2 linked regions of the Drosophila melanogaster genome follow. The gene in region 2 interacts genetically with the main gene of each other region. Each region holds a gene or a part of one and is shown on either strand. Other genes may lie near its edges.

Region 1 (9,535 bases), about 13 Mb from region 2:
CATTTGACATCGGCTTGGGTCAACTATTCGAAGATTTCACGCAGATTTTGTTTCATAATCAAATAATTGATCTTAATGCGGCATCGGAGCTTTAAATGAAATTTATTTCATTTCATTCGCTGTCATCCGCTGAGCTTTTGATCCCATCAAACCTGAAACGAATTGCGCTTCAATGTTGTGGGGGTTTTAGCACCTCTGTGAGCATAAAAGCCTTTTTTCTTATTTTTGGGCAAACTAGTTTTCGCAATAATTCGCCGAAGTCAAACATGTTTCTCCTTTTTTTTTTGGGCCTTAGGCCCGGCAATCTATCAAAGATTTAAGGTGATACTTTTTCTGAGTCGAAAAAAAATGTTGAAATTAGCCGGTCAAAAGGGTTGCCTTTGGTCAATAAATGCTCACTCACGTGCCATAAACATTGGGTAAGAAAGAAGGGAACAAGAGCTTGGATTGGGTTAAATCAATAGTGAGGATTCTATTGAAAAGCTTTTAAAAAATCCAAATTGATGGATAGTCGATATTATGATTTCAGACATTGGTTTTTAAAGCTCAGCACAAGGGGTATGCGAAGAAATTAAAGATGGTGGCTTAATACTGCTAAAGGATAATACAGTTCTTCTTTCAACTATAATTCCTTAATTCTCAATAATAGGCTATCCAGAAAACCGCAAATTCTATGTGCACCCAGTGGCTTGTGAGTGATTGATTCTCGCGGCACGATTGACCTCCAACTTGGCCAGGCGGCAAATCAATCAAAACTGGCTGCAAATGAATGATATTTTTTTCCCGACTTTTTTGTGCCATTTTTGGCGCATTTGTGTGCTAGTTTTCGTTTTCATTTGCATGAATTGGCGAAATCAAAATATGGCAAAGACTAGACACTAAAAACTTGGCATTGTTATGGTGGAAACAGAAATTACTGGCGAGATTTGCATAGGAATCGATCGATTGATGGGCGATCTCCCACTGGGCCTTAATGAGATTTTGGCCAACTGTTTTCATGGCTTACTCCAGTTATTATTTAACTGCCATTGTCTGGACGGTGTGTAATTGGCAATCGGTGTTTTGTTCGGGGGCTCGATCCAATCTTGAACTCATTTCGAAATGGAAAGTCTACTAGGGATATCATTATCTTATCGGGCCATTATTCGGCTGTTTTCTATCTAATTTGCCACGATTTTTTATGGCTCAGATGAGCAGACGGCAAGGCAATTGCCGTAATTCTTGTTAAATTTCAGCACCGATTTTGATTCTTTGAAGGCGGCCGCCTTTGTCTGATTCCGATTCGCAAATGCAAATATTTCCTATTGATTCAGATAGGCTATAAACTCATATACGTTTCATTTGGTATATTTGTAAATGTCTTTTATTGACAAATCACTGGAGCGACTGCAAGTTTCGTTTAGTCTTAAATAATTTGCATAATTCTTCGGCCCGTTTAGTTTAAACACCCCCCCCCCCCCTTTTTTTTTTCAAAAGCTCAAACTTAGAGTTATCTGATTTTTATCTATATTTAATTATTTACGATTGAAGCACAATGGTTCAGGGTCATTAATCAGAGCCGCAAAAGTCGGCGCTATAACCGCCTGGCTACGTGCTGGATTACTTCCATTATTCACTGAATGTATTCGATACGCAGATACTCGGATACTTGGATACTTCTATACTCAGTGCAGCTAATTCCCTGTAAGCGATCGTAAACTAATTTCGTTTAGAGCCATAAAATACGAAAGTTTTTCGTCATAATCGCCGTGAGTCGTGGGAATTACCTTACCATATCTCATCATATCTGTTAAATCAGTGGAAAACGGAAGAAGTCCACCCCCTCACCCAAAAGCTTACACTATCTGGAGGAAGTGGATGGGGCTTCCAGGGGGCCAAAGGGGGCCAACAGCGCTTTGTACTTTTGCGACTGTGTGTAAATATTTGACAACACATGCCTAATTAGTGCAGCTATTGATGGTGACAGGCGGAACAAGCACAACACACTTGTCGAACACCCAGCTCTTTTACGATGCCTTTTTACCCGGAATCGCCAATGTCTCGGGTTTCTTCGTCTGTACCTATGTATGTATATCTGTTTCGCTGAGGTTCCCGGAGTTCGATCCTTATCTCTGGGGGAAGGAAGTGTTCTGAGGAGGGCAGCTGGAGGCACTTAACACAGAGCTTTTGTTGAGCAAGGCTAGACTTTCTGCGGGAAACTGAACTTATCAATGGGCGTAAGGCTGGTAGACCAACGGTTGTAAAATGTTGAGATAAGGCAATAAGACAGGGAATGATAGGAAAATTTAGGAAGATAGCCTACACATCATAAAATTTATAAGAAAGATAATCAAGGCTCAAGATTATTGGTAATAAAAAAGTACGTATACTTTGAAAAATTAATTCATGGTAAATGAGTATGGCCTAAAAACTTAACCTATACTCGATAACTTTAATAACCACAATCTGTGCGATCAGTTTCACTCTAAAGTATTTATTGACATTCAGCAATAAACAGGATAAACAGTTCCTCGGAAAGACATATTACTCATACGTATGTACCCTTGCCGTTTGTAATTATGTTCTCATACTATCCAATACCATCGATCAATGCCACCCAGTCGATGATCAGGCTATAGCTATATGTATATATTCCCGGGTAGGAACCGTGTTGAAACCATCTCGTCAGTCAGTTGGGGACACTTGGCACATTGGCAAAGTGTTGGGGGCAAATATTTACCCAGAGCTTCGCAAGTAAGCGCGAGTCAAACAATTGAGGCAAACAAGCCGGGAAAACAGAAAAACAGGCTGCAAACATGGATATCGAAAGGAGGAGTGCGGATCGGATCGCATCGGATGGACTGTGATCGCCACAGTTTCCCTGCGGAACGCGTGAAAAGTGTGGATGAGTTCAAAAGAGTTAACCGACCGTGTATTTGAGAACGGCTTTAAGAGCCGAGAGTTCCTGCAGGTGATAACAAGATTTACAAATCGATTGTCGCATTTGACAAACAAAAAAAAACAAAAATGGGGAAAAAACGGCGAAGGAACCGAAGGAACACCTGAGGAAATCCAAGGTGTTAATCTCTGTCGAAACACACTCGAGAACACTCAAAAATTACGCAGTCCAACTCCTCATCTCAATCGATAATTGAGCTAATTTGTTTTCGGTTTTATTGTAATTTGTGATTGCCGCGTGCGTTTTATTTATACTCGTACTCGAATTCGTACAAAAATCGTCAAAAATCTGGTCTGTTCAAGATTTGCATTTTGATAAGCGGAAGTTGTTGGGCTTAAGGTGTTTTTCATGTGATTTGTAAGCTCTCGTATTTGTTGTGTGCTCGCTTATTGTTGTCAAATTTGGCTAAAATTAATTTGCAATAAAAGCGGCTTAATTAGCGCACTTTGGTACGTAAAGTTTTTTTTGTTTCATTTGAATTGGGTTTGACAAGGAACCTGTGATTGCAAATTAATTGGCTAATGATTACGATATTTAAACGCTTTGTGATGTGTTCATCCTTGTTTAAAGACACACATATTCTTTCTATAATAGTTGGATATATTTCCATTTGAATGTTGATCAAGCTAGGGAATTTTATTTAAGTGATTGATATTTGAAATTTCGACACTGCCTTTTATTTGATAGAAAATATCTATCTGCTATTTGGATTTTATTTATTACAAAAGATCAAGTTTTCTAGATCTTTTCGCTGGAATTTCCAGAATGTCTTAAGTAGCCTTTAATTAAATATTCTAGTAACCGAACTCACCTGCATCACCCAGTAGTTATTGTTGGCGGCAAACTGATCACCAATTATGATATCCGTATGCATTTAAGCGGCGTTTTTCGCATGAAGCTCCTTCACTCGACTGTTGGCCAGGTGGAATGCCTGGCGGGGGAGGGGATGCCACCGATTCTACCGATATTCTACCAATATTTAACCCGACAATTTGCAACTGGGCTCCGTACTTTTGTGTTTGCGGACAATTAAATGGCGCTGCTCTGACTCACGAGTCACGATCAGTTCAAGGCACAGTGATTAATCAATTTCGGATGCGAATTCAAAATCGTATTCGGAATCGAATTTCGGGATTATTATTGAATACTTCAGCTTGACATGGCACTGCGAGCAACAGACATTGCGGCACGTTTTCTTATTATTCAATTGCTTTTTGTTATTTGTTGTTAAATTAATTTAATTTGCAAGGATATGCAAATGAAGGCACTCGATCACTTTCTCTCACTCTTTTGTTTCCCTTTGTTTGCACACTGATTTTTTGTATCCTTTGCGTTAATTGCACAAAATTAATAAAAGCCGGCGGCTTTCGCTCACTTCCGCATTCGATGATGAGCTTCGGCTTGTATCTTATTTGTATCTGTATCTCTTGTTCCTCTCGATATGCTGTATATATGGGCAGTAAATTCGTTGCAATATTCTACAGATAATGGTAAGGCACTTGCGGGTTTCAATTTATAACTTATTTTCTGTGTTGCTTGAGTGGATATTTAGGCGATTCACGCGCTCGTCGGCGAAGTTGTTACTGCGCTGGCGGGAACCGAGTTCGTACTGATTGGACGAGCGCGGGTTTCGCGCAGACGAGCCTCGAAAGTCAGAAAGCCAGTCAGCTAGCTGCCGCTTAACCCCCGCCGCTTAACCCTCCACTGCCCGCTCTGTGCCGCTCTCGCTCACCTTTCGTATCTGTATCTGTCGGATACTCTGCTCACCAGGTGTTCCGCTCACCTGGTCCGCTCTCCGCCACTTTCGGCCCAGGTGATCTGTCGCTCTTATATCCGACTCTCAGGTGTGTTCCAGCCAGCTGATCTTATTGGAGACACTGGAGTATAAGAGCTGCGATCGATTTTAATTGAATGAACCGCCTGGGATTCGCCATTTTAGATTTGACCTGCGGTAGAGGTGGTAATGGGTGAAAAAGTAAGTAACCACGCTTCAGAAAAGATCTCGAAATAGGGCAAGGAGGTTAGAAATTAAAGTTTATAAGTCCCTTATGGAGTATTCAGTAACAAATAAATAAAAATTATTAATTTTAGAGTAATAATTTTATTATAATCCGATCAATTAGAATATCATTTAAATTTACAAAACTTTACAATTAAATGTTTATATAAATAAAATCTACATATATGGCTTCGATTTGATTTAATTGATTTCCGTAAAGAACTTTTATACGACAGAGTGTTTTTTAAGGACCTCGTTCTTTTTTTATAAGTTTTATAACTTAAGGTATAAAATTGGTAGCCTTTAAGGAGTAATAAATCAAAAACATACAAAGCATAATCCCCGAACAGAACCTCCCCCATTAAAACCGCTTTACTACACCGTTCATTAAGTTTGACACATTTTAGATAGAGCCTAAACAAAATAAAAACTGTCCAGCTAACACGCGAATCTTTCATAGACCTCATGCAGTTTTAGATGGTAAAAAAAAAACATAATTAAATAGAATTAAAGCATAAATTAAGTCAGCTTATGTGCTTTCTTTGGGGGAAATCAATAGAGCGACAATTAAAAGGTATCTGTATCTACATATTCCAGGTGGAAAGCAAAAGAAGAACGAGGACTGTCATTTCCCTGTGTAATTCCCTGAATCATAAAATTACCCCAACGCACGCCACACATAAAAGCCATTTTCATTTCGACTCATCCCCCTGGTTTCCTTATTTTTGGCCATTAGGGAGCCACAAGTTTATGTTTTCCGCGCGCGGGGGGGTAAAATGGTTGGTGCAGGGGGGCCAAAAGTATCTGAAATAACACGCAAACGTGGTTTTCTAAGGGGGTTTTTAGAGGTGTGGCCTCTCCGGATAGCGGCGCAGACTCAAAAGTCAGCCAATCGGCGGTCGACAAAAAGAGCGAGAAACACGAGATACAAGATACAACGAGTGAGCGGGACGGGGCATGCGGTTAGAAAGAGAGAGCGAGACACTTTTGCGTACACGGTGGCAGTAAGTGGAAAAAACAACAACAACGCTACACGCAGGTGGAAAAACAAAAACATCAACATACATGGTCAGATACGAAAGTATCTACACTCGCAGATACATTCGTCCATATTCGACGCCACCGATAATTGACTGTAGTATTCCCCGGCTTTCGCTATTGACTTCGTGCAAATTTGCCATTAATGCCACCGCAGACGTCTGCAGATACAAGCCGAGATACTCAGATACATTCGAATTTGTTTGTCTTCGCGCTTTTGTTTGCTCTCGAGCTGCTTGTCTTACGTTTGGCATCCGTGAGATATGCCAAAGACACATTTCCAAGCCCGTACTTGACTCCGTTCGCCGGTTGACAAATGCCAGCCAATTTATAACGCTTTTGGCCTAGAATGAAGCGGTTGAGTACGAAGATATGCGCGCTCTGGGGATTTAAATATGCATATTATGATTAAGGGGCTTTAGAATATCTATGGCACTGTAAATTAAATTATTAATTGAAGGGTACAACGAAAATGCGTGTTTTTCAGTTATTATGTTATAACTAAGTCAAAATAAGACACATCGCTATAAGAAGCACTGTTTTTTACACCCGACAACCTAAGAAGAAAACCCAAATCACTTTTTAAGAGTTTTTGAAAAAAAAAAAATTTACCCATTTTTCGACTTTTTTGTAAGGGGTACCATCATCAAAATTTTCGAAAATGGTCAAAAAAATTTTTTTTACACATTTTAATGGCAGTTGTTTTGTGTTTGTAAAGGATAAAGATCTGAGCACAACGAGGTATAACTTTCCAAATTTGGACAATTTTTTCGATTTTTATGCACAAAAAACTAAATTTTGTTTAATAATGACTTGTCTATGAGTATATACCATCCTTAGATCCTTCTGTAATCATTTTAAACTCTATTTACTTCTCTTTATAAATGACATATTTATATCCTCTTTACTCACGTTTTTACCGAAATCCCCGTAAAAAAAAAGCCTGTAATGTATCAATTTTGGCGCTTTTATGTCGAGATCCGATCAGTTAACCATAAATATTCAAATTGGAGGCGCACATCCTTGTAGAGTAATTGATTTTCCCGCCAGCGATATCTGCGGGATTTATGGAAGCCCCTGTTTCAGCTCTTACCTCACACAAAGATCGATGTCGATGGGTACTACCTGTTATGAGACTGGAGATTCGAGGACTCTCCCCCCAGAAATTCACTGCACTCGACCGAGCAGAACTTATCGGCCAGCTCGACATGATTAATTGCCCACCGAAGACCCTCGAGATCAGTTCGTTTGAATTGTGGCCAAAATATTGTCACGCTTCGAAATCGGAATCGAAATAATATGAAAAACACGATCTGAGAGCCTCCAAGGAAATGGTTCTCCGCTTGATTGATTCCACTTGGCGGCACTTGCCGATAAAGAAGGACAAGTTCCCAAATGATTTCGATTTATTCGGGCCGTGCATTGTCAACCTGGAGTTGTTATTTCTTCCAAGAGCAAGGGTCCCAGAGATTACGCGGCAATTTGTTTTGTCTGCGCATTTTCTGGGAAATATTTTCATAATTTCTTCGGCTTAACCTTATCGCTCGAATTTATTTGTTTGCATAATATGCGAGGGTAATTGAAATCTCAGCCAGGGGAATTGGAATTGGGGCCACCTCGAATTCCATCTAACAGCTCAGGCGATCAAGATCAGAAGACTTTTAGTTACCCCGAATAATTGGGTCCCCGAAATGTGCATTCTATGCAAATGCGGCCAAGATGCAACTGCGAATGCGAATTTATACGAATGCTAATCAAGTTAACACCAAGGCATAGTCACTGTTGTCTGACAATTTTTAAGTGCGTATCTGTGTCGCTGCAGCGGCGGCAACAATTATTAATGATTTTGCTAAATGTTACAGAAAATAATGACAGCGCAATGCTGTGTGCAGCTCCACAAATTACAAATGCACACAAAATGCCTTTTAGATTTCGGATTTTGTATTTCGGTTTTCGCCTCTCGCCTTTCAACACCTCGCAGCCCACATTTCGTTGCGTTGAATGAATGATTCGACATGTTCCAAGTGGGCGGCCCGCCTGAGGGCGTGTCACTTTCAGGTGAGGGCGGGGGGCGTGGCATGGCGGAAAGCGGAGCTGCGGCGGCGAACAGCAGGCGGCTGATTCTTCCCGAGCTTCATGGGCACTTTTTTGACATTTAGCGCGTGCGCAAGCGCAGAAAGAAAGAGTCATGATCTAAGCATCTAACGATCTACGACACAGCGAGAAAAAACTATATCAATCGGAAATCATTTTAAACCTGTAAAGAAAAAGATTCATTATATTATTATATTATCGAAAATAAACAAATGAACAATGCTTGTCACAAATTTTATTCTCTTTTATCGTTTATATCCTAATAACCTCCCCGTACTATCTTAAAGATTCATCCTTTGCTGCCTAATAAAATTGACATTATAGGTCTCGAAGCATTTTTATTGTTATTGTTAGTAATAACGTCCATTATTTGGAGAGTATATTACCTATTGGTTCGCTCGCTTTCAATTGTCGTAGTGTTTTATCTGTTAATATACTACTTCATATTTGCTTATACAGCCTTTAGTCACAAAAGTTCTGAAGGACTTTCATTTCAATAAGCTGATGTTAAATTGAATTAAGTGATTAGCATTTCGGGTGATATTTTCTCCCAGTGGAGTGCTTCATTAAATTCCCGTTTCCCTGTACCACTTCAGGTGTTGGAAAGATGAGCCCCCAGTGCGGTACTCCTCCGACATCATTTCTATGATCGCGTTAATCACCTTTCAAGCCCACTCGAAGCGAAGTAGAAACGATATGGCCCTTGAGAGTAGCTGGGGATCGGAGATGTCGATGGTATGGGGGTAACTTACAAAACTTACAAACGATATCATTGCTTACTCAGCAGGTTTCGGGGTCCCAACTATTTTCGGGAGGGGGTGCGAACTGCTAATGATGCGACTGCACAATTGAAATGAAATTAATTTTACGCGGCAATTAATTAAATCTCGGCTGTGGGCAGGCGCAGAGAAAGCCAAGGCCTCCCACACCAAAGACTTCATCATCTTCTCTAACTCCGGCCAATAATAATTATTAATTGGGCTAACAAGTCCCTCGGTTTTTGGCTTTCGGATTGTGAAATCTCTCCTTGGCCTTGGCCAAAAGCCAAAAGCCATAGACCATAAACCACTGATACACCATAAATGCGACGACGCACAAAACAATTGCACCGAAATAATATAAATTCGTGTGAAATTAAATCATAAAAGTAACCATAATCTGGCCAAGCCCAGAAACCCACCAGCACACGTCAGACATTGCAGACATAGGCCAGACTTCAGACATTATGCGATATTCGATATTCGGCACTGACACAGAAAGCCGAAAATTTCCATAGGATTTTCTATCGATTTTTATGGCGAATCGGAAAAGTTTATCAATGCCGAGAACTTTTCTTCGAATGTGACATGCAAATTATGAAACTTGTTTGGTGAACCCAAATTCTGGCCAAATTTCCATATAAGGGCCTGCGTTTTCTATTTGCTTACTATTCGTTTGTTGAGAAGTGCTTATAAAATGTCTTATCT
Region 2 (9,844 bases):
AATTATTAATTGTCGCACAAGGCACAATAATATAATTTACATATCTCTCTATGGGGTCTTTCAACTTTCGGCCAGAGAAATGCATTTGAAAATACGCATTTGTTCGAAACACTTTTTGCTCTTTTTGAGCGACGATATAAATAGATTCTCCATAGGAAGAATTGTTGGTCCCGAACTCATTTTCAAAATTTTCCACTGCTTGTTGCGCTTGATTAAATTTTTAGCAAATACCTTCTTCCCAAAATAGTACATAATTTAGTGGCATTCGTTTAATTAGTCCCACATAAAGTTATCAATCAAAAGCCCAAGTGTCTACAAAAAAAAAAAAAAAAAAAAAAAACAGAAGTGCTAGATTAGTTCCAAGTACATGGATTCGGTTCCCTTGCTCTATAAGAAATCGTTTCCCATCGTATCAAAGACTTTCTATTGTGCTCTAGAGGCGGCGACTGAATCAAGAGTCGCATGAATTATAGGCAAGTTCAAAGTCTCAGAGAGCGATCGGAATTATCTGGCCGGGGCTACAACGTCACATCGCAATCTTCGGCGAACCATTCGGGTGACACATTCTCCCGTCTCGCCACTTGGGGCATTTAAAGAGGAGCCGGCCATATTATGGGGGGTACGGAACCGGTTCCCGGCTGCACCTCCAAGATAAGTGCCGAAAATTTGTCAGGCGAGATAACATTCTCTATTGCGAAGAATCTACCTGCTTACAGAGTACGGTGGGTATATGTGATCATGCGTTGATTGTTGATTCTTAATTATTCAGTATTTAATTTAGATATATGAACAAAAGGGTTCATTGATATAAACTAGTTGATTCATAAGAAAGAATAGGTTAAATTGGAAAAAGTTACTTTATAATGGAATGTGCAGCTTTTTTTTTTTAACAATATCTATATTATGCACAAGGGGTATTAACAATTTCGATTAGCATCTTCATCCGAACTTCTTGTGTTTCTTAGATCTTTTCTTTTTATTTCGCTTTGGTATCAGGCGTTTAGCATGTGCCAGCCGAGTGTCTGCGCCTGAAGGGAAAGAGGAAGTCGAAATTCTCATTCACTATGTTTTATTTTCTTTTTTATAAGTTAATAAACTTTGGCATACCGCTCGCCCGTGTCCACCCCTGCGATTTCATACAGCAGATAAGACTCATTCACGGCACTAGCACGAAAAGCCTAATGGCACAGTGAACTTCACTTGGGGGTTTTGGGGTTTGGGAAGGTTTTTTCCTTTCCGATTCCAATGGGTATGGGACCCAACCCAGCGCAGAGATTACGGCGTTCCATTGGGGGGAGCCATGCCACAAGGCGTTATTCACGATTTGCATGCGTGATAGCGGGGAATGGTCTATAAATATACACATGTTCGATTTCTGGCTGCAGGCGTAATACAATCACGGAGTGATAAGAATTGTGAAACGCAAAAATGTGACGTAGATGGGACAATAGCCCTCAACGTGTCTCAATATCTATATCTATCTATGATCTGATTTATCTGATTTGGGTGCAGTGGAAAAGTTTTGACCTAAGATAACATCAAAACCGAGTCGCAAAAAGTACGATATACGAAAGAAGAAATTTTGGTAGCTTATTATGGCACCGCAGAGAGTCAATAAAACTTGATAATCATGACTTGAATAAAACGCATATCTGCGTTTGTGTGTGCAGAAGCAAAGGTTGTAGTAAAGTCGTATGTTCTTATTATAGAAGAGATAAAATATGCAAAAGAGCCACGTTAAGCCATCAAAGATATATTAGATACTCATGGAAAACCGCAAAAACAAATGCTTAATCACTATGTGTTGATCATGACGCAAGGATAAAAATGGATTTCAAATCTATGAGAGGTTTAAAAACCTTTTCACAACTTCATATCTGTCATCCGGATTGACAACTTATCAATATTCCTATTTAATTTCCTTCAAATTTCCGCCGTTCTAATTGCATAACTTTCCGAGTGCGTCAGACCAATAGATGGCTATTTTCAGAGTTCACAATAATGCTGGCAAAACGGATATATATATGTATCCATAAGAACCAGCCCGCTGACGGTCGGAACATAAATTCCTGCGGAATTATCGATCACGTGTCGAATGGCATTTGCAAATTGTTTTGACATTTCATCCGACTAAGAGAGCAGTTAGTTCGTTTAATTATTTCCTACTAATTGGTGGAGACACCCTGTTCTTAAGTCCGATCCCAAGTCAACGTAAATATTTTCACTTCCATTTCGACAGAAGGAAAGAGGAGAAAAAATAAAGAAACGAAATTGAATATAGCAAACAAGTCTGCAGACTACCAGATGAGAATAGATCGCACAATGGAGGAGCGACCGGATGATACGGAGAGATATGTATATGTAGCCATAGATATAGCCAGCACCATTGCGTTCCATTGGCTCAAAGCCCAAAATGCGACAGCCGCGTGTGGCCCACATCCACAAACATAGGAGAGATATCCGTGCATTACGATAAGTACGCACATCTATAGATATTCAACGCAGATATTATATACTTATGATGTAAACAAGACCAGGCAACAAGTTTCAATAACCCCGAACGCAGAAATAAACAAATAAATTATGCGTCGACAACGTTGCGTGTGGTTAGTACGCTAAGTGATGGGGCATGCCACGGGACCATTATCGTGGGATAATTACAATAGGCGGTCCTAATGGGTGCCAGGATCCCACACAATGACAAGACCATTAGCCCCACCCAAGAACTTTCTTCCGTTGCACAATCTAAAAAAAACGGTGGAAAACCCAACTCCGGTAGCCGCCGACGCTATAAACTTTATTTTCCAGCGATTTACGATATAGCCTAGGCCAAAATTGAAAAGGGGGATCCATTGGGGGGGTGGTTATATTGCCGCTATAAATGCGCATTATCTGACCCGGCTGGGCGCTTATCAGGCAGTCGGGGCCAACTTCATTGGTACCCCCGTTGTTTTATGGCCTCCAACCTGTGCACTTGAGTCAGCTGTGCAAAGTTTTCGCCGCGGATTCCGATTCCGAAAGGGATCACCTCAATTGCTTTAAAAATAGCAACAATTGGTTTTCATTATCGGACGGTCGCGTGTTTAATTAGAGAATCAACTGTGCATCTTGCGGTTGGTTTTTTTATTGCGCCTCGGAATTACGTATTAGTAATTACAATTATGAGAACTTTTTTATCTACACTCACAGCGGGCTCTAGAGCTGATAATTAGCCTTGTTCGAAAGCCCTTATAATAACAAAAAATCAGTCAATTTGCTGATAACTCACTTTAGCTTTGATTAAATGATAAAGATCAATAGATCGAAGGGCCGTTCTTACACTAAAGTAAAATATTTTGGTAACTAATTAAACTTGAACCATTGAAGGTCCAAGTTAAATTTGTATATGATAAGTGCTAATCGATGGTCAATTATCATGGCTTCTATAATCGTGCACTACTGTCAAACATCAAAGGCATTCATGTTTAGATTTCAGATATTAAGAAATTTAATTAAATTAACTTCTTTAAATATGGTTTCAGAAATATTTGGACTTTACTACGTACCAAGCACTTATTCTTATGATTTAGCATTGAAAAGTTTCCAATTGCTCAGTTTATTTTCCCCATAAATTTCTGTCTGTCCGGAGAAATTTATCGCAGCTGCTTGCTATTTATGGCATAGGTGCGGTCCGCTCCCCACCACCGCCCGCTAATTGCGACGGGACTATCGTTTGCAGTCAATAAACAAGCAACATCGCAATTTACATTAGTTTCCAATGACCGTATCTGGTTGGGATGGGATTGCACATTTTGGGTACGTTGCCAGGCCCTCGCAATCCCCCCCAATCTCGCAATGTCTAGATAAACAGAGTTATGTAAATGGAAACCAAGAAAATTGCAGCGGGGAGCGATGGGGTACCGGGTATTGAGTTCTGGTCGCTTCTGTTTGCTATTTGTCATAAGAGAACTCGGGACCGTGCTTATCAGCAATCCACTCAACTACGCATACGTAATCCTCCCTATGAAATATCAATCAGTTCTAACCGCAATTGTTTAAAAGTCAGGAGCACAGAAGCCAAATATACTCACAAGAATTTGCTTAATCAATTTGTGACGGATTTCAGCATATTGTTGGACAGACGCTTTAAATCTAATAATAAATAAACTCATTTAAAAACATAACAAGCAAACATTTATGTCAAAAACATTTTGACGTTTTCGAAAAGCTTTAAAACATGTTCCTTGCAGTTTCTATTGCACATTTAACTGCTGATCAGTGAATTAGTCAATGAATGACAACAGAAAAGGTATTTTTTAGGACACAAATAAAATTTTACTGGTTTTAAAAACTTTTATTTTTTAAGGTTATGGCATCAAGAGTAATCTGATTAATATAATGCTATCATAATTGGTGGAGGCAATAACCATCAATATAACTGATTTAATTTAGAGGCTGCGACGCAATTGAAAAGTTTTCCGTTCGGGAACTCACTGAACCGATAAACCAAACTTGCGGCGCCACCATATTTCAAGCGAGACCGCAAAACATATTTAATTTCAAAGGGGATGCGGAATTTGCTTTGGGGGCATGACTACTTTGCTGACTTTTCAATAAGAATACGAATGTGTTTAGCTTTCATTTTCATCTTCACAAATCTGCGATAAGCCCGAAAAGGGCTCTAAACGCACTCAGCAGCAAAAAGGAGACTTGGTTCACACTTCCGGTAAAATCTCTGACAATCTTTTCTTAAGTCCATTGTCTACGCTTTTTATTTGCTCACTCAGTTTTGCACAATCCTTTTTAAGTGCTGGCACATAAAAACACACACATTAAGCGGTAATAAAACAAAGGCAAGAACGACGTTATCCTTTAAATTCAAGTGCAATTGAATTGTGAAAGCCTTTCTTCGTGCGGGAAAATAGCAAAATGCGGCGTTGATTGCATAACCGTTATGTCAGGAGAGCAAACCGGGCTGAGAGAGCGTACTTGGGGAAGCTGCCACCCCACACTCACCCACGCAGAGAGAAAGTTTAAATGTCAAGGGGCAGTGACGTAGTAAGGCAAACTTCGACGCCCACGTTTATAAATAGAAGGTGGAAAAAAATGTTTTTTTCATGAATATAAAATACAATGTGACAATAAGAACTTTATTCACCTTAAGATGCAGTAAATATACATAAGTGAAATGGATTTTTGTTTAATAATAATCTGTAGCACATTTTTAAGGTGTCAATATATTTTCTCAGTGTAATAAAGGACACTCAAGCACAAATACAGATACACAGTGGCTGTCATTAATTTTGATGCGGCAATTAGGCAGAGCGATTTGCGGCATTCGGTAGCCACAGACTTTCAGCAGTCACTGTTCTCGACGAGAGGGAAATGAAAAAAGATCGGATAAAGGGATGGGCGAGGGCGGTCGGTGGAGCGGCGAGGAAGAAATCACTGCCATGGCCCTTTGAAGCAGAGGAGAACGGAGCTAACCTTACTCTGACCTTGATGCGGAGCGAGCGGGAGAGCAGAGCAGCTGTCTGCATCACAGTACAAGGGGAAGGGGCGGTAAATAGCGAAACAAGATTCACGAATGAAGCACAGCACAGCCCATAAAATAGTCAACGAGCAAGAAGAAGATGAAAGGGGTGGGGGCAACATCAAGAACAGAACTTCGTAGCGGCAAAAAACAAGTACAAGAAGGAGAAGCTTGCGGCAGGGCGGTAAATAACAGTGCAGGCCATTGCCATAGGTCCGATCAGTTATATCGCAGCCCGTTTGTGGTATTACTTATTTTATGATTACTTTATTTTTTATTTACATTACAAATACCTATTTTTAATTGATTTTGAGAAACATCAAAATTAAAACTGCGCACTTACGCAATTTTTATTTTATTATGACTTTTTAAAAGTATAATATTTAATAAATTTTAATGACGCACATCATAAATAACGTATATAATATATGCTTAAGGAAAAGATTACTGGTTAAAAATTAATGAATCACTTAATGTTTCAAACAACACGTAACTAGCACTTAAGAAAACCCTTCCTTTCCAATAAATCTATCATTTTAAGTACCCATAAATTAGCGAATCAAACAGCTGCTAGTTTTATGTCCCCCACTGTAAGTTCTGGTGCGGGAGCTTCTGCTCTCCTTCTTCTTCCTGCTCTCTGCAATGCTTCCTCTTCCCACACTCCCTCTTTTCAACGTGTGTGTCTGTGTTTCTCTGTGCTCCATGTAAAATTTATTGATTTTCTAGAGGAACTCCTACGGGAATCAGGAAAAGCTGTGGTAAGAAAAAGGGGCACCCGGAACCCTTAACTATTCTCTTCTTCATTACAGCGTTTTTCATATTCCCCATCCTATACCCCATGGTGAATATTAGCCGTGCTAGGTAAGCACGTATGTATGTATGTGTGTTAAGTCATTTGCACATCACAATTTTTAAGCGACACAAAAAGGAATTCCACGCATATTTTTCGTAATTACTTTCAACTTTTCTGATAAAACGATTTACTATGCACTGATTTTCGTATTTTGCGCGTCCACACAAAACCAAGAACTTTGAAGTTTTTCACTTTTCCACTTGCTTATAGCACTTCCACTTCGATTTGGCTTTAGAATATTTTCTGGTTTTCCGCGTGTTCAGAATACGTGCGTTTATTTCAAAAGACCGAATGAGAATGGAAGAATAGGACGAAAATCGCAACTATCCCCAAACCGAAACCGAAGAGAGCGCAAAAGTAAGCGGAGAGCGAAAAGTTGCGTGAGAGCAAAAACAACAACAACATATGTTGTTTTTCGAACTCTATCTTCCATGTAATCTCTTAACCTTAAAATTAAATTTAAATTATTAAAGACCAAGTTTTACTAGATAAAGAAATAAATTCTTATATTTTCAGTAAATGGTTGCTTCAATTATTTACACATAGTTTGTCGCAAAGTACCGTTACATGATGCGCTCACTGTCAAAATCTCACTGAGACTCATTTAAATTGGATATGCGCTTTCCAGTATCCAAGTTCATACCACTTTTTTGTTCCCAATCACAGCACGAACAAATTCATACAAACACAATATAAAAAAATTGTTACTTGTTCAAAAAGGTATGGCAAATTAAGTAAATATTAAAAAAATTTTCCAGAAGAGTGAAGGGATATAACTAAAAGTTTCCAATGCAGGAAAAACCATTATTGTTATTGCATACAACTAAATTATATGTGGTACTAAAATATTATTTTTAAAATCCAAGCAGTCAAAAGCTGCAATACACAAAACTCGAGTACCGTTATGACCAATTCTGCTGACTTTCAAATGCTGGACGCCATGTGACGACTCGGTATATTCTAGTATGTGGGTATTTTTTGACGTTCGACGACAGGTCACATTATTTCTACATGTGCCGGGTCGGCAGCTAAACTTCAGATAAAAAAACCAAACGAATCGAAGCGTCCAGAAACAAACGAAATCTAATTCAAAACCAGTACAAATACTCCAAACCATGGCTGCTGAGGAGGGAAAGTTTGACAACATACTGCTGGCCGTGGCCGAGAAGCATCACGGTGGCGTGCCCGAGGTAAAACAATAACAAAGAACGCAACTTCTTTGTTTCAATTTTGTTTAATCATGTTGTTTGTGTTTTATATCTAAGTTCCTTGGCACTTTGGCCAGTTTTCTGCGCCGCAAGACCGACTTCTTCACGGGAGCCAAGCAGACGGAGTGGGAGAAGCTGCTGCTGGATGTCTTCAACAAGGAGTCCAAGCTGGCCGTAACTGAAAACTACGAAAAGATAAAGGCTCGCGAAGCTTCCCAGCGCCTAAAGGCGGAGAAGGAGAGAGCCGAAAGGAAGGCCCGCAAGCAGGAGATTGACGATAATAAAATATGTGATATCACTGACGAAGAGGCAGCGGCCATTATCAAGGAGGAGGAGACCAAGTAAGTGCAAGCGTAATGAGATCATTTACCAAAATACCCAGGTAACTCGGCAAAAGCTGTGAAATTCCTGCAAAATGGCAAATTAGCATTCCTTTTCAAAGAAAGAGTTTGAAACCGAGCTCAATTCTTATCCTAAATATGTTGTATCATTAGCATTCGTATATCTTATAATGTCTAAATCCCATACAGAAAACGCCAGCAGCTGCTGGATAGCGCTGGTGGAGAGCCATCTGCCTCGAACCGAGATGGCATCTCCAAGCCCATCGAGAAAGTGGACGATGAATCCGATAAGAGTGAGCTGGGTAAGCTGATGCCGAATGCAGGCAATGGCTGCACCTTGGAAAACTACACCTGGACCCAAACTCTGGAGGAGGTGGAGGTAAGTCCGGGCACGTCGCTAACGCCGTATTTCTCTTATTTGGCCCAGTGAGGTGTTGTCATAGTTATACAGTAGCTAGCAATTTTAGAAGCTCAATCTTTCAATGCGTAATTGATGTCCTTAATTGTGCTAGTGGTTTTTGAGTACCGCCAGACATAGTTATTATTTATTAATTTACTTAAACACTTAATCGGTGTTTTCTTGCCCGAATACCTTAGTCGCTGGTTGCTAGGCAGCGGTCATAGCTGAAAGCCCAAGTCATTGAACCCACGACAGGTGTGATTCATCAACCCTTCGTGTACAATTATACAATTCGCTTTATTAAACATATCACAGGGATAAATAACTTATTTGCTAACCAGAAAGTACAGCATTATCCGATACCAGACGGCTATTGTCCGATCCGCTCCAGATTTAGTTTCTTGTATGTTTCTCTGTCTCCATAGCATAGCGCGCTTAATACTAATGAATTTTCCCAGCTTCGACTGACTTGACACTCCATCCAAACAATCTTTAAATAAATATCTTATACAACTAGCGCCAAGACGACACGATAACAATAATAAAATTAATAATAATGGGGGACAAAGACAATACAATAAATAATAAGCTAATTGGCTAGGCAGGGGTATTAAATCCTAGCTCTTGGGCATGTCACGGGCGCGCACTGAAAGAAGAATAGTTATTAGAATTTAGCTGACACAGGTGATAGATGGAATAACTTACTCTCCAGCGCATAGACCATGCCCATGATGAGCAGCATGAAGATGGTACTCATGCTGACTATCAACACGGTGACCTGGCGCCCCCGATCGCATAGACCGCGCTTCGGTTTCTTCGGTGGACCACCCTCTCCATTGACCATCGTGAAGTGCATAGAGCTAGCGATGGATACGGTATCCAGGTCTTTGGTTTTCACATACTGCAAGTTGGGATCGACGTCGGCTGGCTGCTGACCCTCGATGGCGATAACCGCATCCTTGCCGCTGCCGATGGCCAGGTTGGCATTATAGTTTGACGAGGAGGGATTACTGGGCATCAGCATCTTGTTGTGTCGCTCCTGCTTCTTGTGGATCTCCGCAAAGCGTTCCAGATTCGCTGCCGTCAACAGCAGTGAGCCGGAAGCAGCGCTCTGTATAATTCGAATGGAAAAAGAGGAGAATGTTTGTTGAGTCACGGCAGTTCGATACGGTTTGGTTCTCCGCAACCGGAGCCTGCGTGGACTCGGCTTACTCACCCGCGTGCTGTTGTTACTGTCGCTGGAGCCCTGGGAGCTCCTCGATCCCCTCTTGGCAGCCGCCAGAACAGCGGCCGCTGCTGCCGCAGTTACTGCAGCACTTGTATTATTGTTATTGTGAATGCTGCTAGTGTTACTGGGCGAACTGCGTTGGTTTAGGGTAGGTGGATTGGAGTGCGATTTGTTCGAGGACTTGGACGAGCTGGCCGAACTAATGGCCGAGCTCGAGGAGGATGCCAGCGAGGCGCGGGGAATGTGCCAATAGTCCTGCATCTGTTGGGGATCGAAAAGATGTTGGTTAGACATTATTTTAC

The links.
Region 1: of nudC (region 2) and dar1, changing one suppresses a phenotype caused by changing the other (phenotypic suppression), as found in Drosophila melanogaster (one study listed by BioGRID).

What each region holds. Positions count from the first base shown.
Region 1 is NT_037436.4:3,621,359-3,630,893, reverse strand, and holds the start of dar1 (dendritic arbor reduction 1), read right to left. Parts: upstream 4,543-9,535; 5' UTR 3,813-4,542; coding exon 3,750-3,812; intron 1-3,749. UniProt on the Drosophila melanogaster protein: Transcriptional regulator which promotes dendrite growth by suppressing, either directly or indirectly, the expression of the microtubule-severing protein spas.
Region 2 is NT_037436.4:16,801,065-16,810,908, forward strand, and holds the start of nudC (nudC), read left to right. Parts: upstream 1-3,929; 5' UTR 3,930-4,288; intron 4,289-6,468; exon of another isoform or gene 6,469-6,667; intron 6,668-7,329; 5' UTR 7,330-7,480; coding exon 7,481-7,555; intron 7,556-7,630; coding exon 7,631-7,914; intron 7,915-8,103; coding exon 8,104-8,293; intron 8,294-8,593; exon of another isoform or gene 8,594-8,931; coding exon of another isoform or gene 8,932-8,960; intron 8,961-9,019; coding exon of another isoform or gene 9,020-9,425; intron 9,426-9,530; coding exon of another isoform or gene 9,531-9,803; intron 9,804-9,844. Other genes in the region: CG13024 (uncharacterized protein), read right to left, coding at 8,932-8,960, 9,020-9,425, 9,531-9,803. UniProt on the Drosophila melanogaster protein: Chaperone protein with functions in nuclear localization and cytoplasmic mRNA trafficking.